Macaca fascicularis: one gene and its partners. The protein of the gene in region 4 purifies or fractionates together with the protein of the main gene of each other region. This does not show direct contact. Links are inferred from orthologs where the notes say so. Each region holds a gene or a part of one and is shown on either strand. Other genes may lie near its edges.

Evidence for each region.
Region 1: the proteins of ITCH (region 4) and CPSF6 purify together in Homo sapiens (affinity purification with mass spectrometry; 5 studies listed by BioGRID and IntAct, with this or other methods). This does not show direct contact. The link is inferred for Macaca fascicularis from reciprocal best matches to the Homo sapiens genes ITCH and CPSF6.
Region 2: the proteins of ITCH (region 4) and USP9X purify together in Homo sapiens (affinity purification with western blotting; 3 studies listed by BioGRID, with this or other methods). This does not show direct contact. The link is inferred for Macaca fascicularis from reciprocal best matches to the Homo sapiens genes ITCH and USP9X.
Region 3: the proteins of ITCH (region 4) and SMAD7 purify together in Homo sapiens (affinity purification with western blotting; 4 studies listed by BioGRID and IntAct, with this or other methods). This does not show direct contact. The link is inferred for Macaca fascicularis from reciprocal best matches to the Homo sapiens genes ITCH and SMAD7.
Region 5: the proteins of ITCH (region 4) and AMOT purify together in Homo sapiens (affinity purification with western blotting; 3 studies listed by BioGRID). This does not show direct contact. The link is inferred for Macaca fascicularis from reciprocal best matches to the Homo sapiens genes ITCH and AMOT.
Region 6: the proteins of ITCH (region 4) and LAPTM5 purify together in Homo sapiens (affinity purification with western blotting; 3 studies listed by BioGRID and IntAct, with this or other methods). This does not show direct contact. The link is inferred for Macaca fascicularis from reciprocal best matches to the Homo sapiens genes ITCH and LAPTM5.
Region 7: the proteins of ITCH (region 4) and MAVS purify together in Homo sapiens (affinity purification with western blotting; 3 studies listed by BioGRID). This does not show direct contact. The link is inferred for Macaca fascicularis from reciprocal best matches to the Homo sapiens genes ITCH and MAVS.

Annotation. Positions count from the first base shown.
Region 1 is NC_088385.1:76,016,297-76,019,796, reverse strand, and holds part of CPSF6 (cleavage and polyadenylation specificity factor subunit 6), read right to left. Parts: intron 2,337-3,500; coding exon 2,127-2,336; intron 443-2,126; coding exon 339-442; intron 1-338. UniProt on the Homo sapiens protein: Component of the cleavage factor Im (CFIm) complex that functions as an activator of the pre-mRNA 3'-end cleavage and polyadenylation processing required for the maturation of pre-mRNA into functional mRNAs.
Region 2 is NC_088395.1:41,197,487-41,200,986, forward strand, and holds part of USP9X (ubiquitin carboxyl-terminal hydrolase 9X), read left to right. Parts: intron 1-812; coding exon 813-986; intron 987-3,500.
Region 3 is NC_088392.1:40,841,537-40,845,036, reverse strand, and holds part of SMAD7 (mothers against decapentaplegic homolog 7), read right to left. Parts: intron 2,015-3,500; coding exon 1,476-2,014; 3' UTR 1-1,475. UniProt on the Homo sapiens protein: Antagonist of signaling by TGF-beta (transforming growth factor) type 1 receptor superfamily members; has been shown to inhibit TGF-beta (Transforming growth factor) and activin signaling by associating with their receptors thus preventing SMAD2 access.
Region 4 is NC_088384.1:90,410,700-90,414,682, reverse strand, and holds the start of ITCH (E3 ubiquitin-protein ligase Itchy homolog), read right to left. Parts: upstream 2,801-3,983; 5' UTR 2,724-2,800; intron 1-2,723. UniProt on the Homo sapiens protein: Acts as an Acts as an E3 ubiquitin-protein ligase which accepts ubiquitin from an E2 ubiquitin-conjugating enzyme in the form of a thioester and then directly transfers the ubiquitin to targeted substrates.
Region 5 is NC_088395.1:119,350,243-119,354,437, forward strand, and holds the start of AMOT (angiomotin), read right to left. Parts: upstream 2,801-4,195; 5' UTR 2,616-2,800; intron 2,156-2,615; exon of another isoform or gene 1,776-2,155; intron 1-1,775.
Region 6 is NC_088375.1:204,258,396-204,262,496, reverse strand, and holds the start of LAPTM5 (lysosomal-associated transmembrane protein 5), read right to left. Parts: upstream 2,801-4,101; 5' UTR 2,772-2,800; coding exon 2,685-2,771; intron 1-2,684. UniProt on the Homo sapiens protein: May have a special functional role during embryogenesis and in adult hematopoietic cells.
Region 7 is NC_088384.1:83,429,429-83,432,928, reverse strand, and holds part of MAVS (mitochondrial antiviral-signaling protein), read left to right. Parts: intron 1-830; coding exon 831-1,005; intron 1,006-3,500.

The DNA of each region.
Region 1 (3,500 bases), on a different chromosome or scaffold from region 4:
AACACACGGTATTCAGCTGCCCATCTTCTCCCATCTCTTAATCACAGGGAGAGTAATGGTTCCTAAACTGTGATTTCAACAATCATTTCAACCACAGATGGAGAAAACTTGGGAAAATTAGAAAATAGATCTGTCCACATCTCCATTCTATTGGTTTTAGTGTGCTAGGTAATAGGGTACATAAAGTGAACAGTATCAATCTCTGCTCAAGAACCTCCTTCCAATGTAAACAATCATGTGTTGTATGCACGCGTAATTAACATTAACTTACAGGAAAGTTAACTTGTTAAAAACTGTATCACTAGCTACTAAATCAAAAAGAAAGAAAAAAATCTTACCCCTTTGACTGGCCGTTTGCCCGATTTTCAAAAAATTTTATCTCCAAAATATCATTTACTCCCAAAGAATGAACTGCTTCAGTTAAGTCTTCATCTGTTGTCCACTGCAAGATATTATTCCCCTTATTAACCATTAAAATATAACCAAGATTTTTATTATCCCAGTTTAGTTTTTAAGGGGAAATTTGGGACATACAAAATAAATGCTGAGTGCAAATCTAAGTCTAGTTACGGCCAGTCAGGCTCCAATTTTTAAACAGCACAAAAAACATCCGGGAACCTAACTTCATTCCCTGATACATATTTCAGAAACTAGACAGTACCCTTGGGGTTACAATAGGATTTGACTCTCAAGAGTTTCTGGTCCCTTACAGCTTTAAATTGCTATGATTTTAAATTGTGAATAAAACCAATTTCACTTCCTCCCATTAAAGGAAAATATTTTGAATTTCATCTTGTTTTTGAATTAAAACATAGACAAGAAAAAACTAACATGTATTTAATATTTACCATACACTTTATGTATTAACTATTTAACTCTTATAACAACCCTATAAACCCTATTATTATCCTCATTTTACACACAATACAATAGAAGTTAGAGTTTGCCCAAGGTGACAAAACTAATAATAGATGGTGGAGCTAAGATCCAAATACTTACTTAGCAACCATACTTACATAACTACACTGCTACTGTTTCCAATACTATAGAATACTCAGACTGGGTGGTGGGAGATGTGTTACAAATTAGTTTTAAAAGAAATGTGAATAGGCTGGACACCATAATGCCAGCACTTTAACAGGCTTGGTTAGGAGGATACCTTGAGGCCAGGAATTTGAGGCCAGCCTGAAGCAATATAGCAAGTTTTTGTTGTTTTTTTAATTAGCCAGGTGTAGTGACACATGCCGGTGTTCCTAGCTACTTAAGAGGCTGACACAGGAGGATCACTTGAGTCCAAGAATTTGAGGCTTCAGTGAGCTATGATTACACCACTGTCCTCCAGCCTGGGTGATAGTTTTGCAAATTCTGTCTCCCCCACCAAAAAAAGAAATGTAAATAAAAAGGTTAAAAATACAGTGTTATTAAGGAAATGCAACGGTGCCAAATTTTACTGATTTCTGGATATACAAGTTTTAAACTTTCAAGTATACATAATAACTAAGTAGAGATACAAAAATTCTATAGAACTATTTTAATGATATTTAAAATGTAATGTTAATAAAAATATAAATATACATATGTGCATTTAATGAAGCTCTAAATCAATAATCTTAGTCTCATGACAACCCAAATTAAAATATAATACATATAGCAGTGCTTCTATAAATCAGATTTCAAATTTAAGAGCAGAAATAAAACTCAAATTTGTAATACAAATTAAATGGACACTATTTTTAAACCAGGAGTGACACTATGTCTCTTGCCTTTTACACTTGAATCCTGGTTTGAGACCCCATGTGAGCATTATTTTTAGTGAAATTAGGCTATCTGAAGCAAGGTAAAGTGGTAGCATAAAAAAGGTAACTGAAGACAAAACTAATTTAACTATATTTAACTAGTATCTCCACCAAGAAAAGCTGAACGACCACAAAACTCAAAACTAGAAGAATTGGAATTAATGATGTTGCAAAGATATCTGTATTTCCCTCCTCACTGGACAAGCAAACACGTATAGAAAAACAAACACAGTAACTTCAAACTTATAAAAATCTGGAGAAAAACATTAATTACTAGAACAGTTCAAAATCAATTACCAATAATTTAATTCATATATTAACTTCACTCACCCATGTTAGATTTCCAATATATAATGCAATCCTCTTTCCAGTATACGTATAGACAACATTTGGTGCCGCTCCTTTACCGACATCATCACCAACTGTTGGTGGGAGAGTATCCATGTAATCCCGGTCTTCTGGGGCATCTCCATTATTTGCAGATGGAGATATGACATCGTCATACAAATCTATCTGATCATGCCCACCATATTCAGCTTCCTGAGATACAGAAATAATGTTCTAGATTATACAAAAGTCAAAATACTACTAAAACAGATTTGAACACAAATTCAATTTTTTGTTTTAAAAATCTGATAGAAAAAGGTCAAGGATTTCAGTACCAATTTTTTTCCATTTTATGCAATAGATGTATTCTTGAACAGGCCTAAAAAGTAAATTTCTTGCCGGGCATGGTGGCTCATACCTGTAATCCCAACACTTGGGAGGCCAAGGCAGGTGGATCACTTGAGGTCAGGAGTTCGAGACCAGCCTAGCCAACATGGTGAAGCCATGTCTCTAGTAAAAATACAAAAATTAGCCAGGCATGATGGCTCACGCCTGTAATCCCAGGTACTCAGGAGGCTGAGGCAGGAGAATCGCTTGAACCTGGGAGGCAGAGGTTGTAGTGAGCCAAGACGGTGCCACTGCGCTCCAGCCTGGGCGACAGAGAGAGACTTCATCTCAAAAATAAAAAAGTGAATCTCCTTTTTTATTTTTATTTTTTGTAGAGACCAGGTCTTGCTACAATGCCCAGGCTAGTCTCAAACTCTTGAGTTGAAACAATCCTCCTGCCTTGGCCTCCCAAAGTGCTGGGATTATAGGCTTGAGCCACGGCACCCAGCCTAAAGTTAATTTCCATATAATGAATCCTACTTTTCCACTGATACTTATAATATAAAAAATAAGTTCTTTTGGAAAAAGAAAGACATGGAGACAAACAACATGAAACTTTCCTTGGAAATACTCTTAAGTAATAACACATAAAAATGCAAATAGACAAGTTTTTTAAAAAACTGACATTAGAAAAATCACCCCCAAATCCAAAGCCATTATATCTTTAATATTTGATCACAGAAAAATAGTTATTATGTTTTATAGTATTCAGATCTTGTTTTCCAACCTTGAGGAATCTAATACTTTTTTAAAAAGCATAGTGAGCTGAGGCATCGGAAAGAATATGGGCACATAAATAATTCAAAACATCATAATGAACAAGGGAAAGAGAAATAACAAATGAAATACATGTAGAACTATCCAAATTAATTATCTTCCAAGTTGTATCATTCTCAGTGAACAAAGAGCTAATGCTTACCTGAATTCTTAGTTATCTAGTCAAGTAAATTAGCAAGAGAAAAGCAACAGACCACAAAACAAAGAGTAAAG
Region 2 (3,500 bases), on a different chromosome or scaffold from region 4:
TGAAAGTAAATAGAACAGACTGGTGTAATTTCTTGTAATGGAACAAGCTGATTTTTAACAATTTATTTGATTTTAAACTTACTGTATACAAATTTTTATTTGTCTAAAATATAGAAATGAGATTGCTATATAGAAAAGGTTTTACAAAAGTATCAAAAGACAGTTCTTGCATACTTTAAAATGTTTGTCATTTCTTGCTTAGAACAAATACACTTAAATTCTCTATGTACATTATTCTGTATATACAAAATCAGGTATTATTGATAGTTTCCAGCAGTGCCTGAGTTTTAGAAGTATGAGTTCTCATTTTGTGGTATGTAGTGATGGTGTCTTTTCTTAGATTATTCAAGAGATTAACTGTAAAACAAGTTAAAGCTTTCTCTCTTGGGGAAAAAAATAAATTTAAGAGTAACTAGATCTGATCTTTTTACTATTTATAATCTAAAATATAAGCAAAATGAAAGAAATAAAATAGTAATTGTAACATCCACGTAAGAGTGAGATCCACCACCTCATTCTTGGAGCCGTACTATCCATCAATTACACCACTGGTTTCGTGGCAGTTCTTTGCCGCTAGGGTACTAGTTTTAGTATGAGGCTCACTCTCTTACCCCACTACATTCTATAGGGAAAGCACATTCTTTTTTTTTTTTTTTTTTTTTTTTTACTTTTTCTGTGTGGTTGAGGAATAAAATCTCGGTTTTATATACTGTTGTTTGTGGTCCTGTTGTTTTTTTTCCCCCTGAAAAATATAGTTGTACATATTGTTCTGTGAATGTCACGTTACATGTTTTATTTCATTCATTTCTTAGGCTTTGGGGTGAGCCTGTTAATCTGCGTGAACAACACGATGCTTTAGAATTTTTTAATTCATTGGTGGATAGTTTAGATGAAGCTTTAAAAGCTTTAGGACATCCAGCTATGCTAAGTAAAGTCTTAGGAGGTTCCTTTGCTGATCAGAAGATCTGCCAAGGCTGCCCACATAGGTAAGTACTAATTACACATTGAAAGTATATGTTGTACCATGTATATACTAACAAAAATAAAATTTTTACTTGTACTTACATACAAAAGTGGAGTATGTCACTGATTACTAAATACCTGAAACAGAATGATTTATATACTGTGCATACCTTACTGCTGTGGGACTATTTTTTGTTTTTGTCAATTAATTTTTAGTTCCTTCTACTCTGCCTGATCTCTTAGCCATTTTATTATATTATACTCTTACAGTCTCCCTTCCCTTTCCTCCTTTCCTTATTCCTTTTTCTTTTCCTTTCTCTTTTTTTTTCTTTCTTTTCTGAAAGAGACAAGGTTTCTCTTTGTTTCCCAGGCTGGAGTTCAGTGGCATGATCGTAACTCATAGTAACTTTGAACTTCCGGGCTCAAGCAGTCCTACTGCCTCAGCCTCTCAAATAGCTGGGACTACAGGCATGTGCCATCACGCCTGGCTAATTTGTAAATTTTTTTAGAGATGGGATCTCTTGTTGGCCAATGGGGTCCCAAACTCCTGACCTCAAAATCAGTCCTCACACCTCAGCCACCTCAGCCTCCCAAAGTATTGAGATGACAGGTGTGAGCCACCATGCCCAGCCTACTATTACATTCTTTTACAGAATATTATTCCTGGAGAAATGAAATGGCATTTTGCATATAGCTACAGGTGTTATTTATAAATTTGCCCTTTATCTTAGAACTTGAGTGATTATAATAGTGTAAATACAGTAAGTTTAGAAGATGACAAAGCTGTGGTAGTATTTCCTATACAAATGAAATAATGACTTTTAAAATAGCATTGATTATTGTCATTGTCTTTAAGGTATATTTGTATACAAAACATACCAAACCTATTGTTAAAAAAAAGATTTTACAAGAAAAACATTGACAAAACAGATTGTTTGACTAAAAGGAAAATTGATTAAGGGCTTCTATTAGCAGTAGTTAATGAGTTCATTACTGATAAACACACATGCCTGTCATAATGGAAGTTTTACTTTGGGACTTGTTATAATATGGATTAATGTTGATTTGCAATCGTTTTTCACCAAAATGTCACAGTAAGATAGTATTTTCTACAATCCAAACTCTATTAAATATAGTCATGGGTTGAGTATACATGTGGTTTGTGGGGGTGTTTTGTTTTTGATTACCAGGAAATGATTGGGGGAGAGGTAATACTATATAAATGAGAAATTTCTAGGAAGTTATAGTCTTACCACTCATTCATAATTGGGGAATATACTTACTCACTTAGCCTAGGCAACTTTCAGTCCTTTTGAAAGGCCTTTTATATTAGGTGAACAATAAAATAAAATTTTAACCTTGTTTTTAATTAGTGATGAAAACAGCCAATTTTGGGATCATTTGTTCATGTCACTCCTCCTTAGTTTTAGACAATTTTCTAAATTATTTGGAAATCACTGGTTTTCTTTGGCAAGTGAAATGTCAGAAGATTATGGTCTTGAAATCAGATCCTTGTACCTGATCAACAGCTAAACTAGTCTTTTTTTTAACTAGCTGGGCATGGGGGTGGACGCCTGCAGTCCCAGCTGCTTGGGAGGCTGAGTCAGGAGGATCACTTGAGCCCAGGAGTTAGAAGTTCCAGTGAACTATGATCATGCCACTGCATTCCAGCCTGGGTAACAGAGCAAGACCTCACCTCATTAAAAACAAAAAAGAAAGAAATTCTACTTTGAGTGCCCATACAACCATTCTGTTTTTCACTCTCAGTACAGTATTCAATGAATTACATGAATCTTTGTGTTACAAGATTTTGCCCAACTGTAGGCTAATATAAGTGTTCTGAACACATTTAGGGTAGGCTAGGCTAAAGCTATGATGTTTGGTAGGTTAGGTGTATTAAATGCATTTTCAACTTACGATATTTTCAATTTATGATGGGTTTATTGGGCTGTAGCCATTTCATAAGCGAAGAGCATCTGTAGTTACCGCAGAGACCATATGCCTCACAAAACCTAAGATACTTACTTTCTGGCCCTTTACAGAAAGACTTTGCTGTCCTCTAGTGTTAGAACACCTTCTTTTTATAGGTGTTGAAGAATGTCCTACTTTTGAAGTGTAGTCTGAGATCTAACTTTTTTTCTTTTATGGGCTGTTCCCTGATTATATAGTAGCAATTTGCTTAATACCTGTGTTATATTTCATTCATACAATTTATAAATGCCTTTGTGTACCTTTTTTCCTGAGTTTAAAATTCCTTAAATAAGGGACTGTCTTAAACATTGAATATCCCTCAGTGCATTTACACATAGAAGGTACTCTCAGTCTATCCACTGAATGAATTAATGGTTAATATTAATGAATTAATGTATTCCTCACATCCCTTGTTTTGCATTTATGCATGTGTCTCACCAGAAATCGGAGTCTCTTTGGTAGAAAATGACCGTAAACTGGGATTCTAGCTCCTTCTCAGGTTGCTAATCCTGTACTCATTTGTGTGTTCAAACTTTTGCTTTACTAAGGCTTCCATTACAGAAAAG
Region 3 (3,500 bases), on a different chromosome or scaffold from region 4:
AGAAAAACATTCAGCTAGGTGATAACACCCATAGAAAAAAACACCAATTTTGTGTTTATCTTTTTTAATTTGGCATTTGTTATTTGCATTTATATTAAAGCAAAGTGCATCTTTTCTTTATTTTTCTTGTTTATACACATTGCACAATACATAAATAATGATGCTTATAAAACGTCTTTATATTTACAAGTAATAATATATTTATATATAACATAAAATACATTTTTTTCTTTAATAAATCTCAGGGTTTTTTTTCAGGAGTCCTTTCTCTCTCAAAGCACTACAATGCTAAATTTCCAATGAGAATGCTTCTCTTGTTCATTTAAACCTTTGTAGTTAGAAAAATAGCTTATGTTAAAGTCTAAACATGCTCATTGAGCTAAGAACAGTGTCAAAGTATCATACGAGTGTATGAGTTGTAGAAGAAATGAAAGAAGAGTTAGGTGTCAGCCTGGGATGGTACCTTGGGTTATGACGGACCAAATCCTTCTTGGAGGGAAGGGGACTGCTAAGCATGTCCCTCCCAGGGACGTCCCCGCTTGCTGGCCCAATAGCAGAGCTCAACACACAGGCTGGGAGCAGGGAGTGCTGAGCTGGTTTTCTAAGTCCGGGAAAAACCTGATGTCACCAGGGCAGGCAGGGGAGAGGCTGAGGGGAGAGGGCACTGGGTGAGCAATACTGTGATGGGGCTGCCCCGGCAGCCCTTAGGAAGCCCATTTCAGGGAGATCCAGGAGCAGATGGCCAAAAAAGAAAGACCTACAATGGCAGGGGCTGACGGGAAGGGAATAAGACAAGGATGAAAACAATTGATTCTGGTTCAGCCACTAGCAGGCTTGCTGCTCAGAAGCCTGTGGACAGGCCCGTGTCCTTGATGAGGGAGAGGAGGGGCAGGGGCTTTCCTAGGCTGGGGACACAGCCGTGCTCCTGGCAGCTGCTGGGACCCCTGCCGCCCAGGTACTGCCTCTGCCCCACTGAGCATGTCCAAGGAGCACGAGAGACACGGCTTGGGACTGCAAACCTCTCTGCTGGGGACATTCGTAAGAGACACAAAACAAAGCACATCGTCTCCCCATTTGCTGCTCCTGCACACGCGTGCACACACTCGTAGCCTCACACTCACACACACACACACTCCTGACAAGTGAAATGATGACCGCCCCCCTTCATATGCTGCATTTGGTGGTGCTTGGATTTCTGCTTCCCCTCTTCCTATCAAGGTGTCCTGCCGATCATACCCACCCCCTCTTCCAAAAAACCCCCAACAATTCTTTTCATAAGCTATTTCTCAAAGAGCGAAACAAAACAGAACACAAACGAGGACAAGAAGAAGAAAACCAACCAGCCAACCAACAAACAAACAAAAAAACGACCAAAGAGTTTGCATGAAAAGCAAGCACTCAGGAGGAAAATATTAGCAGCAAAGTAGTTTGAAGTGTGGCCTGCTCAGCTCACGCTCTGTCCCCTCCACACGCGGCTACCGGCTGTTGAAGATGACCTCTAGCCAGCACGGGCAGCTGCTGATGAACTGGCGGGTGTAGCACTGGCCCCAGCCCTTCACAAAGCTGATCTGCACGGTAAAGCCCGTCCACGGCTGCTGCATAAACTCGTGGTCATTGGGCCGCTGCAGGCTGTACGCCTTCTCGTAGTCGAAAGCCTTGATGGAGAAACCGGGGAACACCTTGTGTACCAACAGCGTCCTGGAGTCCGGGTTGTCCAGTGTGGCGGACTTGATGAAGATGGGGTAACTGCTACGGTTGTACACCCACACGCCATCCACCTCCCGCGTCAGCTGGATGCCACAGCCGATTTTGCTCCGCACCTTCTGCACCAGCTGACTCTTGTTGTCCGAATTGAGCTGTCCGAGGCAAAAGCCATTCCCCTGAGGTAGATCATAGAAGATATCCAGAGAGGGCTCCTGGACACAGTAGAGCCTCCCCACTCTCGTCTTCTCCTCCCAGTATGCCACCACGCACCAGTGTGACCGATCCCCAGGCTCCAGAAGAAGTTGGGAATCTAGAAAACACAATGGCAGAGAGGGTTGGTGGGGACAGGCATTGGTGACTACTAGAATGAAGATACCCCCCACCCCGGTCACCAGCTCATCTCTCAGGACGAGACAGAAAGAAGGAGGCGGTGAGGATAGTCCTGGACTTGCCCAGGCTCTTACAGCCCTTTGACCAGGACCCTGCCTTTCTTTAAGCATAGGAAGCGCTGGGGGCTGCTTCTCTCCAGGCCCCTGCCTGTCAGGAGTCCAGTACACCAGCACCTGTGTCCACCTGGCCAACAAAGCCTCTTCTCTGCAGAGCACAGGCGCAAAGACACCCTTAGTAACTTGGGTGGTCCAGTTTTAGGGCCGCAAAAAGCCTCAGCGACATACTGGAGTTACAGATCTTTCAACCGGATGGAACCTTGAAGGCCAGCTCCTCCAGCCCCTTGTCATCCTGATGAGAAAACCAGGACCCAGACAGCCTGCTGCTGGAGTACCAGGGGATGACACAGCCAGAGCTAGAACCCAGGTGTCTAGACTCTGGGGCCACCTATGTGACGGTCTCTGGGTGCCTGTCACCCAGCTCTCAAATCAGTACCGTGGTCATGAGGGACCTCTTTATCCGGTAAAAATAAAAATGAGAGTGGCTTGGGACAAAAACGTCTATATTCCTAATAGAAAAACAAGTCTCAGTGTGTCAGCAGCAGCCCTGTACACAAAGGGTGAATTCATGTCAAAATGCCAAATCACAACGTGCAGACCGGTATTAACCCAGGCTACCTTAACAAAGCTTCCTCCAGCCCAGACAGAAGATTATGTGTCTCAAATAGATGTGTTCCCCTTCTCTGCCGGCACCCCCGTCACCATGGGTGCCCCCTCTCTCCCCTCCTTCCACAGAAGCATCCGGAGCCTGCAGGGCGCCCTGCTCCGCCCTCATCCCTCCCCTGCAGGCCCCGCCCCGCTTCCCTACACAGGGCTCTTCCCACAGGCAGCCTGGGGGCTGGGGTGATTCTGGTAAGGTAATTTTCCTCAACAGGCGCTTGGAGGACTTTAAAAGGGGGGTCACACGGACGGAAAGGGAGCCCCGGCAGCGGGCATTCTGACTCCTCCTTAAGCAGGAGCCAGCGGGCAGGCCTCAGACTTGGGACCATAAATCTCCCCAGCCCAGCCAGACTGCAGGAACGCTGTGGTTTGTGGCAGCAGGGTGGAGACCGGAAGTCTTGTATTTGTTAACAAAAATGGGGACAGCAGAGGGGGGGAAAGCAGAGAGGGGAAAGCAGAGGGGAAGGGCCCCATGTCGGTCAAGCCCTTGCCCTCGCTCCCTGCAGCCCCAGCTCCTCCCTCTCGGGAGCCTGGGGGGCACAAAGCAGGGGTTGAGTGTGAGATGTGTTTTGGTGTGGCCTTTGTATTCTGGAGTAACTGGGTTCAGAGTGAACGATGATGCGTTGCACCCTGCGGGGGGTCGACGGCGGAGGATGGGGCCGCATCCTGCTGCCCCAGCAGGCTGTGTAA
Region 4 (3,983 bases):
CTCCATCTCAAATTAAAAAAAAAAAAAAAAAAAAAGGCCGGGCGCGGTGGCTCAAGCCTGTAATCCCAGCACTTTGGGAGGCCGAGGCGGATGGATCACGAGGTCAGGAGATCGAGACTATCCTGGCTAACATGGTGAAACCCCGTCTCTACTAAAAATACAAAAAACTAGCCGGGCGTGGTGGCAGGTGCCTGTAGTCTCAGCTACTTGGGAGGCTGAGGCGGGAGAATGGCGTGAACCCGGGAGGCGGAGCTTGCAGTGAGCCGAGATCACGCCACTGCACTCCAGCCTGGGAGACACAGCGAGACTCCGTCTCAAAAAAAAAAAAAAAAAAGACGTATTTTTTAAAAAAGAATGTAGAAATGTTTGATTCTAGAATACACTGAAGTAGTCTGTACTCATTTTTGTAATTTCATATCATATCCTTGGTGACTTGACTTGTATGCTGAATATAAGGGAATTCCTTTTGGACTCACAAAACTTAAACACATTCACGGTTCAAAGAAGCAGTAGAATTTCCACCTTCATTTCCATTTTTTTTTTTCTTTCTTGAGACAGGATCTCAATCTGTCACCCAAGGCTGGAGTGCAGTGGCACAGTAACAGCTCACCATTGCCTCCACCCCCAGGACTCAGGTGATTCCCCCACCTCAGCCTCCTGAGTATCTGGGACCACAGGCACCCACCACCACACCCAGCTAATCTTTGTATTTTTTGTAGAGACGGGGTTTCACTATGTTGCCCAGGCTGATCTCCAATTCCTGGGCTCAAGAGATCTGCCGGCCTGGGCCTCCCAAAAGTGCTGGGATTACAGGCGTGAGCCACCACGCCCATCCCATTGTTTTTTTTTTTTTTTTTTTTTTTCGGAGTCTCACTCCGACACCACTGACACCCAGGCTGGAGCGCAGCAACCAGATTTGGGCTCACTGCAGCCTCCACCTCCTGGGCTGAAGCCATTCTCTTGCCTCAGCCTCCCTAGTAGCTAGGACTACAGGTACCTGCCACCACGCCCAGCTAATTTGTGTGTGTGTGTTTTTAGTAGAGACAGGGTTTCACCATGTTGACCAGGATGGTCTCGAACTTCTGACCTCGTGATCTGCCCGCCTCGGCCTCCCAAAGTGCTGGGATTACAGGCGTCAGCCACAGCACCCGGCCCATTTCTTAATTTTAAAAATAAATTATAGCTTAAATAAACCTGTAAAGGCCGGGCGCGGTGGCTCAAGCTTGTAATCCCAGCACTTTGGGAGGCCGAGACGGGTGTATCACAAGGTCAGGAGATCGAGACCATCCTGGCTAACACGGTGAAACCCCGTCTCTACTAAAATACAAAAAAAAAAAAATTAGCCGGGCGAGGTGGCGGGCGCCTGTACTCCCAGCTACTTGGGAGGCTGAGGCAGGAGAATGGCGTGAACCCGGGAGGCGGGGCTTGCAGTGAGCTGAGATCCGGCCACTGCACTCCAGCCTGGGCGACAGAGCGAGACTCCGCCTCAAAAAAAAAAAAAAAAAAAAAAACCTGTAAAATACACACAGCAAGCTCTCACCATATCTGCCATGAGAACTTCACCTGAACTGATAAATAACTCCTTAGCCGATTTTGAGAATGGAAATACACTGCCTTTACATACTTCCTGAAGATCGAATTATATTAGGAAAAGATGCAGGAGAACCCAACTAAGTGCAATGATAGGTGGCTGGCTCCAGGGTCTTACTAATTTTCAAGGCAAAAATCTCACACTTCCCCATCCCCCACTCCAAACCAAGTATATCGCAGATGTGGAAGAACGGCAGAAAATGTAGTAAGATTAGGATACGAATACAACCAAGAAAACAAGGTTGCGTTGTTATTGGGGATAATGAATTCCTGGCCCTTTACAAGTTCACCTGGTTACATGTCCAACTAACTTTAGGCCCAGCGTCTACTTGGGCGCACAAATCCTGCGATTCTCTCTTTTAAGTCGCGGCCCGGAACTGTCTTGGAAAACTTGAGTTATCCACTTAAAAGTCATGTCATCACGTTTCGACCCTTAGAATACGTTCAACGGCTCTTTTTACTTTTCTCTGCTAAGGAAAAGGGCACTCTCCGGAGGAAGGGCAGTGACAGCTCCACGTCTGCAAAAGTCGGCGCCGCCACGACGGTGGCGGGCGTCGGGGAGGGTGCCGGGGCCGGGACCACCATGCCGGGGGACAATGGAAGGAGGAGGGGAGTGGGAGAGAGAAGTGGAGGTAGCCGCTGGGCTGGGCCCTTCTAGCGACTGGGGGCTCGGAAGTCTCGGGAAGGACAGCTGGGTAACGGGGGACCCGGCCGACGCCCCTCACAGGGCCACGTAGCCCGCGCCGGCCCGGGCCGCCGGGCCCCGCGCGTAGGCCGAACCGCTGGAGAGTGGCCCCAGGCGGGGATGAGGGGCGAGGGGCCGGACCGTACCCACGCCCGTCGTGGCCCAGCCCTTTCACAACTTGGAGCCCGCGAGGCGAAGGCCTCGGGAGCCTGTGCCAGGCATTGATCCCTCCGAACGTCCAGATAACCCACCCCCACCGCCCGGCCCGGGCCAGTAGCCCGAGCTCCCCGCGCCCCCCACAGACACCGGCTCTGGGAGACAGAGCAGCCGCGGCTCTGGGGTCCCGACCCGCGCGTCCCACTCCTCTACCCTAGTTCTCCCCCAACATTCTCATCCGGACTCCCTCCCTCTCCCGAGAACTGCCCCGAGCTCGCCCACGGGTGTTTACCGGGACTCCGGGCGGCGGCGACTCCTCAGTCCCTAGACTAAGATGGCAGCCGGTCCCGAGCCCCGACCACAGCTACCAGAGCGAGTTAGCAGCCAAAGCGCAGGCGCCTGAGCGCGGGAGTGGTCTGGACTACAAGCCCCAGCAGGCCTTGCCCGCCAGCCGTTCGGCCCGCCCCTGGCTTGAAGAGCCGGCTGCGGTGGTAAATCCAGTTAAATCCCAGTTTTCCTCACCTCCGGGTGAGACGGGAGCGAGCGGCTCATTCTTTTTTCTTTCTTTTTTTTTTTTTTTTTAACACCCCGCCCACCGGAGCCTATAAGGACTGTGATTCTCAAACTATGGTGTGCATCAGAATCACCTAGAGAGCTTATTAAAACTTACAGTGCTGACCCCCACCCCCAGAGTTTCTGATCAGAAGATCTGGCATAGGAGGATAGGGTCTGATAATCTGCATGTCTAACAAGCTCTCTAGTGATACTACTAGTGAGTGAAATAATAATTTGAGAACCACTGTGCTACACAGCTTAGTTTATAACTTAGTTGTTCTTTTTTCTTTTTCTTTTCCTTTTCTTTTTTTTTTTTTTCTTCTTTTTGAGATAAGGTCTCACTCTGTCAACCACGCTGGAGTGCAGTGGTGCAGTCATAGCTCACTAGAGCCTCACACTCCTGGGCTCAAGCAAGTCTCCTACCTCAGCCTCCTGAGTAGCTAGGACAACAGGTGAGCACCACCACACCAGAGTAATTTTTGTCTATTCTTTGTAGAGATGGGGATGGGGTGGGGTCCGGATGGGATGGGGCAGGGACAGGGCCACAGTCTCGCCATGTTGCCCAGGCTGGTCTCAAACTCCTGGGCTCAAGAGATACTGCCTCCTCAGGCCCCCTAATCGCTGAGATTATAGATGTGAGCCACTGCACCTGGCCTGGTTTAGCCTTTAACAATGTACATTAAAGGCTGTGGTTAAAAAGAAAATAAAAGAAAAAAATGTACACTTGAGAGTTACACTGACTGGGTTCAAATTCTCCCTTTTCTACCTTTTAACTGGGTGTGCTTAGGAATGGTGATAACAGCTTAGTGGAGCCAACATGGCCGGTATTCTAAGAGCTGATACCAAGCTCTCTTTATTCTCACGAGAAACCTATTCCAGAAATACCGTTATTATCCCCATTTTACAAATGTACAAACTAAGTCACATGCTTGATAAGAACCCAGGCAGTCTGGTGTGAAAGTCCATTCTCTTAACCTTCTTCATGGATTGCTTGAGA
Region 5 (4,195 bases), on a different chromosome or scaffold from region 4:
TTTCTAAAATCTTTTAAATAGGTAAACAGATCTGCAAATTTCATGTAAAAGTGACTCCACATCCAATCGTGGTCAGAGGCTTACTTCACATCTAGACCATGAAGGTAGAAAAAGCACTTTCAATTTTACAAAGTCACAAACTTTTCCAAGGAAAGAAGTAATTTAAAATGAAGTATGATGTAGTGCCAGAAAGTGTCTGTCAATGACGCCGGATAAACCCATACAGAATAGTTGGAACCTGAGTTATCATCTGTAAATAGAGGCAACTACTCTACAACCACCTGGCTGTTAAAATGTCCCAGGCTAGTTATAAAATGTAGTTTGGTCAGGCCAGCTTTTCCCTCCCAGCTGATCTGAAACAGGATAGCCTTTAAAATTGTCACCCTGTAACGTTCCTTCTTTACCTTCCTACTTTCCTTTCCCTCATTAAAATCAACCAAAGTTAGTTTTAAATGTATGTAAATAATGTGTTCCCAAATAAGCAATAGGTTAAGGACATCTCAGTAATAAGTCTTTGAACACCATCACTTACAACCTTGACGCACTTGTCCAATTGAAGATAGGTGGGAGATGGATGAAAATGTATACCACATTCAAAATGGCATTTCAAACTATTCTTAGCTACTAAATGAGGGTGCTGAAAGGTCTAACTGAGAAGGCTTCACAAAGGCTGGCCTGAGAAAGAACTTTTCACAAAGCGTAGCTCAAGGAGACTTAAATACCCTTAGCCCTTCATCATTGAAGATTATGGTGACTAATTATCTTCCTCTCTCAATGGGAGAAGAGGGTTATATTCATAAAAGTTTTAAACTGCCTCCCAACTTCCACTCTTCATGGCGGGGAGGGAGGATAACTGAACTAAACATCCCAGGTTGTTGAAAAATTCGTTCTAAAACATACACTAGAGATTGAAAATGCTGTTTCTCACCAACTTTCTCTTTCCTTGCTCATTTAATTCTATTTAGTCCCTTTATGCAAATTATTATATTATTATTAGTGGCAATTTACCAGGAACTGCTCACAGTCTATTGAAGACTGTTATTTTCCCTCCCACTTTTCTTTCTCTTCATTTTCACATACCCATGAAGCCCATCTTACTGTCGAAGCACCAACGTGCAGTGGCCCAGGCTTGGACCCTCAAGACACCTGCCTGATCCCCCAAAACTATTTACTAACATCTTTGGATCTTCTAAGCAGATAGGGGCAACTCTCTCCTCACCATTACTATCACCACCACAGGCACCACAAACACCACCACACATCTCAAAGAGTAGCCTTGTGTTTTAGATTACACAGACTTTAAAACTTCAAGAATTCACGGTCCTACCCCTCCTGCTCCCGCCTCAGGGAGTGTGAGTCCCCACCCCAAGCCTAAGCACTTAGGAGAAACCTATCTAGTTATCTGAGATAAGCACTGACATGCATGCTGGGCTAAATGTAGATTTCAGCTTCCCTCGGGTCTTTAGCTCCTCCATGTGATTAATTACCTAGAGACCCACAAGAACCCCAGGAGGTAAGGAAGTAAAAGTACCAACTAGTAGTGGTACCCACTAGCATCTCCTCACCTAAGTAGGACGGGAAAGCAGCGCACACTCTAACCGATTTAACTTGCTGCACATCCAAAAAAACTAATGGCGAGCTGCAAAGAAAGTAGAACACACGGACGTTCCCACACGCGCCTAGATCGATTCACTCACGCCGAGGGCACGACCAAGTTCATGCCACCATGGATTCCTGCCCCAGTTCCCCGCGAAAAGTAACCACGCGTCTCCTACCCCTGAAGGCAACGAAGACAAGGTGACGACTCTCTGCTCGCTCAAGTGGCTTCGGTCCCGGGCCAGCGGCCAGGGATGGGCAGGGGGGAAGCCCCAACTCCCGGCTGCTCCCCTCCTCGCTGCTCCGTCCGGGCTCTCCTTGGTGGCAGTGGACAGGCAGGATACCGGGCCAGAGGGTGGAGCAGCGGATGGTCGGAGGCGAGACTGACTGGAGGTGGTGGTAGTTGGGGGGGAGGCGGAGAGAACTAAGAGAAGAGGAGGCGAAAGAGAGAGGAGACGGAGGAGTAATTCAGAGGGTCTACCAGTTTAGGCAGCCAGAAAGCTCCTCGGAAGGAAGGGGCGTGACTGCCAAGGCAGCTCCTGGGCAAAGGATGGGAGGTAGGGGAGGGGGACGCACGGGTGGCTTTTCTTCTTGCGGTGAGCGGCTAGGACCGCCCCGGAGCAGGGCGGGGGGGGTGGACTAGGGAGGAAGGCGGAGTAGAGGGCGGGGAAAGAAGGGCGGGAGCCTGCCTGGACCCTGGAAGTGAGGAGTGGGGGGAGCGCGGAAGAGAGGCGGGGCCGGGGGGCGGGGAAGTTTCAAACAATTGAACCGCGGGGTCCGGGAGCTCCGGCGAAAGCAGGGGACCCTCGCTCTCGCCTTCCCACTAGAGGGGCACGACTCGGTTGCCGTAGCCGTGAGAGTCTGCGCCGTGACTGGCTGGGAAGAAGGAAAGGGTTTTGCAAAAGACTACAATAATAATCTGCGGCAACTGCGCGGCATAGTCGCGTGGGAGAGGCAGTGCAGCTCCCCGCCCCACTGCTGGAGGAAGAAAAACAAATAATAGAAATGCTGAAAAGCACCTTCCACCAAAGACTGCTTAAAATAATGCAGGAAAGTGCAGTGCTCCTTCGTTTTCCTTCCCCTCTTGCTTCCTATTACCAGCAGGCTCCCACCGAGGTCACAGCTCTGCGAGACACCCTCCTTTCTTCCTCCGCTCCCCCACCCCGGGCGCTTGCCCGGCTCCCGTTGGCGGGCCGCAGAAGCTGAGGGGCGAGGGAGGAGGGGTCGTGGGCGGGGCTCTGCAGAGGCTCCGCCCCTGGGCGGGCTGGAAGCGCCGGCCTGGGCGGAGTGGGCCCCTGAAGCGTAAGTCCCGCCCACCATTCTTTTGCAGCTACCCGTTGGCCCGGCCTGGCCTAGTATACGCTTGCGATTGGGCCCTGGAGTCGCCAGTCTGATCCCTTTGTCCCACCCGTCCTCAAAATTAATAAAACTAAACAAGAGGCTATTGTGTAGTTCTGTGTTCTACCCCAGCTACTGCTGGGAAGAGAAAGATGAGACGCTTTATTTCTCAGTCTCATAAAAGAATGCAACAGTGTGTCGGTCGACTCTGGTACGCCTTTATGTTTATGGTAGTGTCCAGCTCTCTGCGAATAGGTAACTTTTCTTCCCCCTTAATTCATTAAATCAGGAGGGGGGAAAGTACATGAAGTGTCGTTGTGGTGTTCTGCTGGCTGCGAAAAAAACTGACATTGGTTAAAAACAAGAGAGGGCTGAGAACAGCATCCTGGGACACGGAAAATCTACCATTTTACATCTGGGAAAACGAAGGCACAAAGAAACAGTGTCCGCGTAGCAAAATAACACGGAATTTGGAACCAAAGGAAGAATTCATTTGGGGCCCTGGCACTTGCTAGCTAATTGTGTGACTTCTGTTAAGTGGCTTAACTTCTCAGCCTTAATTTTTCTACCTGTAAATAAATGCTATGAGACATGCCCTATTAACTTAAAGACACTGGTGTGAAAATGTGTGTGAAAACTATAAAGCACTCCACATATGTATGTGTTCCTACTTGTGTATGACACATAATGGAGAGTCTTAGATGTGTTAGGGGACCAATATTCTGCTCATCTGTTTTAAGCATTTACATCCAAGGTCGTGTAGGTTTTGTGGCTTTATTTTAAAAAGTCAACTCTTTTCCTACAATTTTGGGGTGGATATGAAGTTGACTCCCTGCAGTTAGAATAATAAATTACCCCTTTTCTAAGCAGGGTGGGTGAGATTTCTTTTTTAACGTTCAACAGTTTCATGACAACTTAAAGCTATTGTGGTTCTGGTACTGAAAGAGGAAATCATGCTGTGTATCTCCGAAGTGAACTTGAGAAAACAAATATGAAGGAACATTTACCATGGAAACCACCATTCTCTACAGATCCATATTTCCTAGAAAACATTTCAAGTAGGAAACAAGCCTAAATGTAAAGGCCTTGACAGCGCAAGGCTATTATAATGACTCATGCCAATGAAAGAGTGACATCCAATTCAAGCCTGCCTAATGGGAGCCATCTGGGGGGCCGTGGATCAAGGCATGCAAGAGGAAGTGTGCTTAAAGGAAACACTATCACACAGTAAATAGGGGCTCAGAATCCAACTCTGACTTCA
Region 6 (4,101 bases), on a different chromosome or scaffold from region 4:
ACCTGCTAGCCTATGGGAAAGCCCCCAGGCCCTGCCCTTTCTGGGAAGGAGAGAAGACTCTTTCGGGGTGCAGGAAGATAACCCCCCACTGGAGTCAACTGAGGACCACAGCCTGGAGACAACCTGGGCCGAACGCACAGCTTCCAGGACACCCCTCTGTTCTTATGCCTGCTCCTGCTCTAGAGCATCTCATCACTCATAGGCATTGGCTCTCAACTGGAAGAGACTGGGCCCCATAACTAGAGACATTTTTGGTTATCACAAGAGGCAGGGTAGGGAGAGGGGCAGTGCTACTGGTATGTAGTGGGTAGAGATCAAGGATGCTGCTGAACTTCCTCTAACGCACAATTCACTCCCCCATGACAAAGAATTATCCAGCCCAAAATATCAACGGTGCACTGCAGGGAAGATCCAAAGTCTTAGCTTGTCACTCAAAACCTTTATCACCTCCTCCCCAAACTCCAGGTTGGTCTCTATTGTGTCCCTGTAGAAGCCAAACATATACGCCATTGCTCACCCATTTCTCCTCCCCTTCCATACTGCCCACAACCAAACTCTCCCTTTTGCCAATGGCACCACCTCCAAGAAGTCTTCCATGATTGCTTGGGCCCACACATTCTTCAGCTCTGTGAGCAGGGACCGTATATCACACCACCATTTACAGGTGAGGACATCGGATCAACATTTCTTGATCAACAAGAAATCTTAACAGCCCCACAGTCCCGGGTTTGCAGGGCAGCCTCTAGGCCCACACAGCCTGCAGATGGATTCCACTTGGCCGGCACAGAGATTTTTTTCTACCGTGCATCAATCACTAGCATTGAAACATCAGAAGATGTGACACAAAAGCCTGCTCCCTATTCTCCAAACATCAGAAGAGTGGCCACCAGGGCCCACAATCTTTTGTGGAAACAACCAGCAAAAACAGAGAGCAGCTTCAGGGTGGGACAAGCAAGGCCTCCCCAGGTCACCGCAGGCCCATCTGCCCCCTGCTGTCACTCACATGGCCTGCCCAGACCCTGGAGGCATCAGAGTTGGAGACCTCTGAGCCAGTCAACATCACCTTACCCCTGACTTTATAAAAAGGAAACTGAGGCCCGGAGAAAGGCTTGTCTGAGTCCACACAGCCAGTTAGTGGCAGGGCTGGGGTGAGGACCCAGGGACTTGCTACCTGTGAGATGCCCCTGCATGCCACACTGTCCTTCCAAGAACGCTGCATAGTCTCAGAGCTTGAAGGCCTAAAAGACAGGGTACAGGGACACCCAAAGAGTGATATGCTTCTCTCAGCTCTTGCATTGGCAGGAGCTGGGCAGGACAACCTCTGAGTTCCTGCTCCCAAAACTAGAGTCCTTGAATCTGACAGCTTGACTCCAAGGATGCTCACAACAGGTGCCATGTCTGATGCACAATGAATGATAAGGCACTCACCTGTGCGTCAGGCATGGTTCTGCAAGCTTTGTATATATCAGCTCCCTGAGCCTCACAACAAACCCTATCAGATGGGTACGATAACTCACATCCCCATTTTTTTAAATGAGAAAACTGAGGTTCAGAGAGGTTAAGTAAATCACCCAAGGCTGCACAGCTGGGAAGCAGGGAAGCCAGAATTTGCACGCAGAAGTCCGCATCCAGAGGCCGCGCGCTAACCACTGAACAGCATCGCCCCCCTGAAGGCTGGGCTCTTGCCACAGCTCTGCCTGCCCTGCCTGTGACAGGAAGCAGATGCAGGCAGGTCTAAGTGTGCAGCAGCCCACCGCAGCATGTGGATCTAGGCTAATTTTGAGGAAGCCCTTCCAGACTCATGAGAAAACTGTCAACCAACCACAGGCCCTGAGTCACCCCAGGAGGAAGTTGCCTGGGTCTAGGGGAGATGGGTGTGGCCAGGAGTTTGGGGGTGAGGTGGGTCTAGGCAGGACAGTACAAGGACCCTGACCCTCAGCCACCCCAGGCAGAGGGGGAGCCTTGGCCCCCGGGCACTGTGACTTGCCCGAGATCACACTGTGAGTTACCAGGAAAGGAGGAACCAGGGACAGCTGTGACTTCACAAGTTGCCCAACAGGAGCTTGGGCCGGGCAAGTTACCCTAATTATTAGCACAGGTCGCAATTCTCTTTGGTAGGCAGAAGGCCGTGGTTTGACTGAGCTGGAAGCTAAGAGGACTCGGCCCCTCCCTTCCCACTGGAAGCACAAAGGGGTGATGCCCACTTCTTTTCCCCTTGAGTGGCCCAGGCTCCATTCGGGCCCCAGGGGAAGAATCGGGGCTGTGTCTGTGGCCGACCTCACATCCTGGTCAAACAATCCCAGCCCACGTTCCTTCCAAGATCCCTGACTTCCAAAGCACTTTCACATCTGCTGTTGGCTTTGTGCACAAATAACCTTCCGGCCGCTGCTGTGCCCCATCTCACAGAGGCAGAAACAGAGCCAGCCTCGGAGTGAACGTCAGTTACATTTGCCTGGAAAGTGGATTCCTGCTCCCTTACTCCTCACTCCTGCGGGTCCCCCCAGCCATTTGACAGAGGAGGAAACTGAGGCCCAGAGCAGGACAGGGATTTGCCCAGGATCCCCCCGAGAGGTGGAGAGCAGGAGCTCTTTCAGTTGCGGGGGGCTCCGTAGATGAGGGGTCACCGCAGACACGCACACTCACGCACGCACACACACACGCACACCCGGGGCCCCCACACTCACCACATGGTAGATGGCCAGGGCGGTGGTGGCGATGCGGACATTGAAGCAGCAGCAGGTCTGGCGGACGGTGGACAAGCGGGGATCCATGGTGCTGCTGTCCCCTCCTCTGAGGCACTGAAGGGGAAAGAGCCCGGTCCCTGGAGCAGGGCAGAAAAGGGGAAGCTGCTGGCTGCCCTCCTCACTTCCTTCCTGCCCCTTAGACAGGCAGGGACAAGGTCGTCACAGCTGGGGTGGGGCAGCTGGGAGCGGGGGCAGGGCAGCAGCCTGCCTCAGAGCACCCCACCACCCTCTGCCATTCCCAGGAAGGGGTTCCGGGGAGGACAGACCCTAACAGTGTCATCAGGCCCTGCTCTGCACCAGGGCCAGGGTTCTGCCATTTCACACACCTTGCTTACTAGAAGCACACTACCAACTTTGGAAGCCAGGACTGTTACCAAACCCGTTTCCAGATGAGGAAACAGCTGTCCAGAGAGGTCAAGGCACTTGCCCCAAATCACATAGTAGTTAGCACTGGTGGCAGGATTCAAACCTAGATCTGTCTGGCTGCAAAACTAGCTGTTGTGTAGGAGGCATTTCCTGCCTCTTCCAGGCATGCTCCGGATTCACTCCTTTCATCCTCACCTCAACCCTTTGAGGGAGGTACTATGATGATCCCCATTTTACAGATGAAGAAACTGAGGCACAGAGGGGAAATGATTTGTGCAAGGTCACACAGCTAGTCAATGAAGGTACAAGGATTTTAACTGAGGCTGACTGGTGCTAGAAGCCTCCCTGGAGCTGGCATTCTCTCCCACTTCCTCACCCTGAGCCACAGGGAGAAGCATGTTCTTCCTAAGCTATGAAGAGGCATGCAGGGCTCCAGACAAGAACGGAAGAATAACCACTAAGCAAACCCATCAACTGTGGGCCAGGCCCTGAGCTAGGCTTCTCTTCTAGCTGGGTCAATAACTCTTCACAGCAATCTGCGAGACCCAAACCTCATTTTCAGGACCTCGAGACCCCTCCCCCATACTCACACAAAATCAGGGATTGCTTTTCCCCTTGATCTTGGGAAAAGTTGGAATTAATAAGCACAACTATTCGGCAAACTACCTTGGGATCTCTACTCCCTCCTCAGATGATAAGTTATCCATATTTCAATAAAGAAAGGGAATAGGAAGTAGATGCAACTTTTCTGGAAGAAGCCCTGCTTTGTCCCACAACTGAGCCCCTTTGCAATGCCAAGCTTCTAGTGGAGAGCAGACAGGAACTGCCATGAAGCCCTGCCCTCCCAGGAGATCGTGGAGTTAGGATTGGACACTGCTGCAGCCCATCATGTCTGCCCCAGGAGAGGTTATAAAAAGTCCCTAAGCTCCTCCCACTTGGCAGAAGTTGCACTGTTAGACCCACAAAACTTGGTTGGTGGACTTGATCAAAC
Region 7 (3,500 bases), about 7.0 Mb from region 4:
TTTGGGAGGCCAAGGTGGGCGGATCACCTGAGGTCAGGAGTTTGAGACCAGCCTGTCTAACATGGGGAAACCACGTCCCTACTAAAAATACAAAAAAATTAGCCGGGTGTGGTGGTGGGCACCTATAATCCCAGCTACTCGGGAGACCGAGGCAGGAGAATAGCTTGAACCCAGGAGGCAGAGGTTGCAGTAAGGTGAGATCGTGCCACTGCACTCCAGCCTGGGCGACGGAGCGGGACTCAGTCTCGAAAAAAGAAAAAAAACTGCAGCCACTGTCATCTGCCCAGAATCTCCCCAGCACTCTCAGCTTCCTTGTTTCTTATTGTCGGCCCCCTCCCTTTCCTTCTTTTGCCCCTTTCATCATACTTTTGCTATTTACCTTTTCCTTCTCTCCTAATCCAAACCTTTCTTTTTGCCCTGGGGGCCATATAAATCCAAGGCTTTTGTATCAGATTAACTGGGTTTGGATTCCTGCCCCACTATTGTAGGATCTTTGCTATAGTACTTTGCTTCTGCTAAGCCTCAGTTTCCTTATTAGTATAGTGGGGATAATAATGGCATTAAATAAGATGATACATGCAAAGCCCTTAATGGAGAGTCCAGGACATACTTAATTGTCAGTTTCCAGCAGCTGCCTTTATTGATGTGGCTGCTAATTGCTCTTCCTCACTCCATACCTGGCCCTGTCCTGGGCTCTGATTCAGTTTCAGGTGGCCACCTTGCTCTTCTGGCTTTCTTGGCGCCCCACCCCCCTGCTGTGGCTTCATTCTGGGTGGGTAAGTGGCTGGGGCCGCCTGGCTTGAGCCGGACAGTGGCATTGTGTCTTCCAGGATCGACTGCGGGCCACCTGCACACTCTCAGGGAACCGGGACACCCTCTGGCATCTCTTCAGTACCCTTCAGCGGCGGCCCGGCTGGGTTGAGTCCTTCATTGCGGCGCTGAGGGACTGTGAGCTAGCTGATCTCGCGGACGAAGTGGCCTGTGTCTACCAGAGCTACCAGCCTCGTAAGTGTCCTGCCCTGGCCCTCCTCCTGGACCCCTGGCCTGCTCCCTGGCCTCTGCTCTCCCTTCCCCTCTCCCTGTACCTCCTGCCTTTCTCTGTCATCCTCTTTTTCATCACTGTGAAGCGATGGATAAACCTGGGTGTAGATCCAGGCTGAGCCACTTACCAGCTGTGTCCTTTTGGCCAAGTCCTTTAATTTCCCTGAGCCTCAGGCCTCTCCTCTGTAAAATGAAGTTCATGGCAGCATCTGCCGCGGGGGGCTGCAGTGGGTGATACCGCAGGACGATGCGTGTTGAGTACTGAGCTGGGCTAGGCACTTCCTGTATGCCCAGCACATGGGGTCTCCTCTAACTTTCATTGCTGTAGCGTTCGCCTCCCACCCTTCCTCATTTCTTCTCCCCCACCTACTCATTCATCCTCCCTCTCTCCACCTTCTCTTCCCGTCCCCTGGTTTACCTTGAGAGCCTTCAACGCCCTCTACCAACTGCCCAGTTATTCCTTAAGTCCCTCTCAGTGTCCCTGCCACTCTGAGTGCTTGGAGGGGATCTGGTGAGATTGAGTTTGATCCTGAGTGAGATCAAGACATGGGAAGAGGCTGGGCGCGGGGTGTCACGCCTGTAATCCAGAACTTTGGGAGGCTGAAGCAGGCAGGTCATGAGGTCAGGAGATGGAGACCATCCTGGCTAAAACGATGAAACCCTGTCTCTACTAAAAATACAAAAAATTAGCCGGGCATGTTGTCCCAGCTACTCGGGAGGCTGAGGCAGGAGAATTGCTTGAACCAGGGAGGCAGAGGTTGCAGTAAGCCAAGATCGCACCACTGCACTCCAGCCTGGGCGACAGCGAGACTCCATCTCAAAAAAAAAAAAAAAAAAAAAGAAAAGACTTGGGAAGAAAAATCAAGCCAGCCCTATTTATATTTCAAACTAGAGGTAACCCCCGAGACCCTGGTCACATTTATAGCTGTGGGACATCCATGTTTATCTTTTCTTTCTCTTTCTCCTTTTTTTTTTCCCCCCTTTTAGAGACAGAGTCTTGCTCTGTCACCCAGGCTGGAGTGCAGTGGTATAATCATAGCTCACTGCAGCCTTGACCTCCTGGGCTCAAGTGATCCTTCTACCTCAGCCTCCAGAGTAGCTGGGACTACAGGCATGGGCAACTATACCTGGCTAATTTTTAAATTTTTTTTAGAGATGAGGTCTCACTATGTTGCCCAGGCTGGTCTCGAACTCCTGGGCTGAAGCGATCGGCCTCCCAGAGTGCTGGGATCATAGGTGTGAGCCACCGCGTCTGGCTCTCATGCTTACTTTTCTTTCCTTTTTCTCTTCCTCGCTTTTCCTCCCTGCCTCCCTCCCTTCCTCCCCTACTCTCTTCCTGTTTTTCCTTCCTTCTTTTTAAATGTGACTCTTCATGTGTGGAGATTAATAGTGATTCCCCTCGCTGGGTGCAGTGGCTCACACCTGTAATCCCAGCACTTTGGGAGGCCAAGGCAGGCAGATCACAAGGTCAGGAGTTCGAGACCAGCCTGGCCAATATGGTGAAACCCCATCTCTACTAAAAATACAAAAAAATTAGCTGGGCGTGGTGGTGCAAGCCTGTAATCCCAGCTACTTGGGAGGCTGAGGCAGGAGAATTGCTTAAACTGGGGAGGTGGAGGTTGCAGTGAACTGAGATTGTGCCATTGTACTCCAGCCTGGACAACACTGAGACTCCGCCTCAAAAAAAAAAAAAAAAAAAAAAAAGAAAAAAATAGTGACCCCCTGAATACAATACAATGGCTGTGGTAGGGCCTGATGAGGGGTGGTGGCAAAGGGGAGGGGCTGAGGCAGCAGCATCAGGGCAGGGGTCAGTGAGCAATGACAGTCATGGGGAGGAGAAAGCCACTGGGTCCCAGGATGCCTGGGGACAGAGAAGAGTGACTGCTGACATGGTGTGGGTGGCTAGAGGCCTACGAGGCCTCCTCCACACTCCCCCTCCTTCCTTGCTACCTTGTCCTCCAACTGCTGTCTCCCTCCCACTCTTGCCCCCTTGCCAAGTGATGCTTGTCACTCTTGAGGAGTGGACCCACATCAGAACAGCTTTTGGACCTATGGCTGGGGCGGGGGGTATACCCAAGAGCACCCAAGCCTCTTTCATCATGAGGAGAACCCCCAATTCCTTCTTTTTTCTTTTTTTTTTGAGACAGAGTCTTGCTCAGTTGCCCAGGCTGGAGTGCAGTGGCGTGACTTTGGCTCACTGCAACCTCTGCCTCCTGGGTTCAAGTGGTTCTCCTTCCTCAGCCTCGCTGTAGTCCCTGATTCCTTTCTTTTTTTTTTTTTTTTTCTTTTGAGATAGAGTCTCGCTCTTGTTGCCCAGGCTGGAGTGCAATGGTGCAATCTCGGCTCATGGCAACCTTCACCTCCTGGGTTCAAGCAATTTTCCTGCCTCAGCCTCCCGAGTAGCTGGGATTACAGGCATGCGCCTCCACGCCTGGCTAATTTTGTTATTTTTAGTAGAG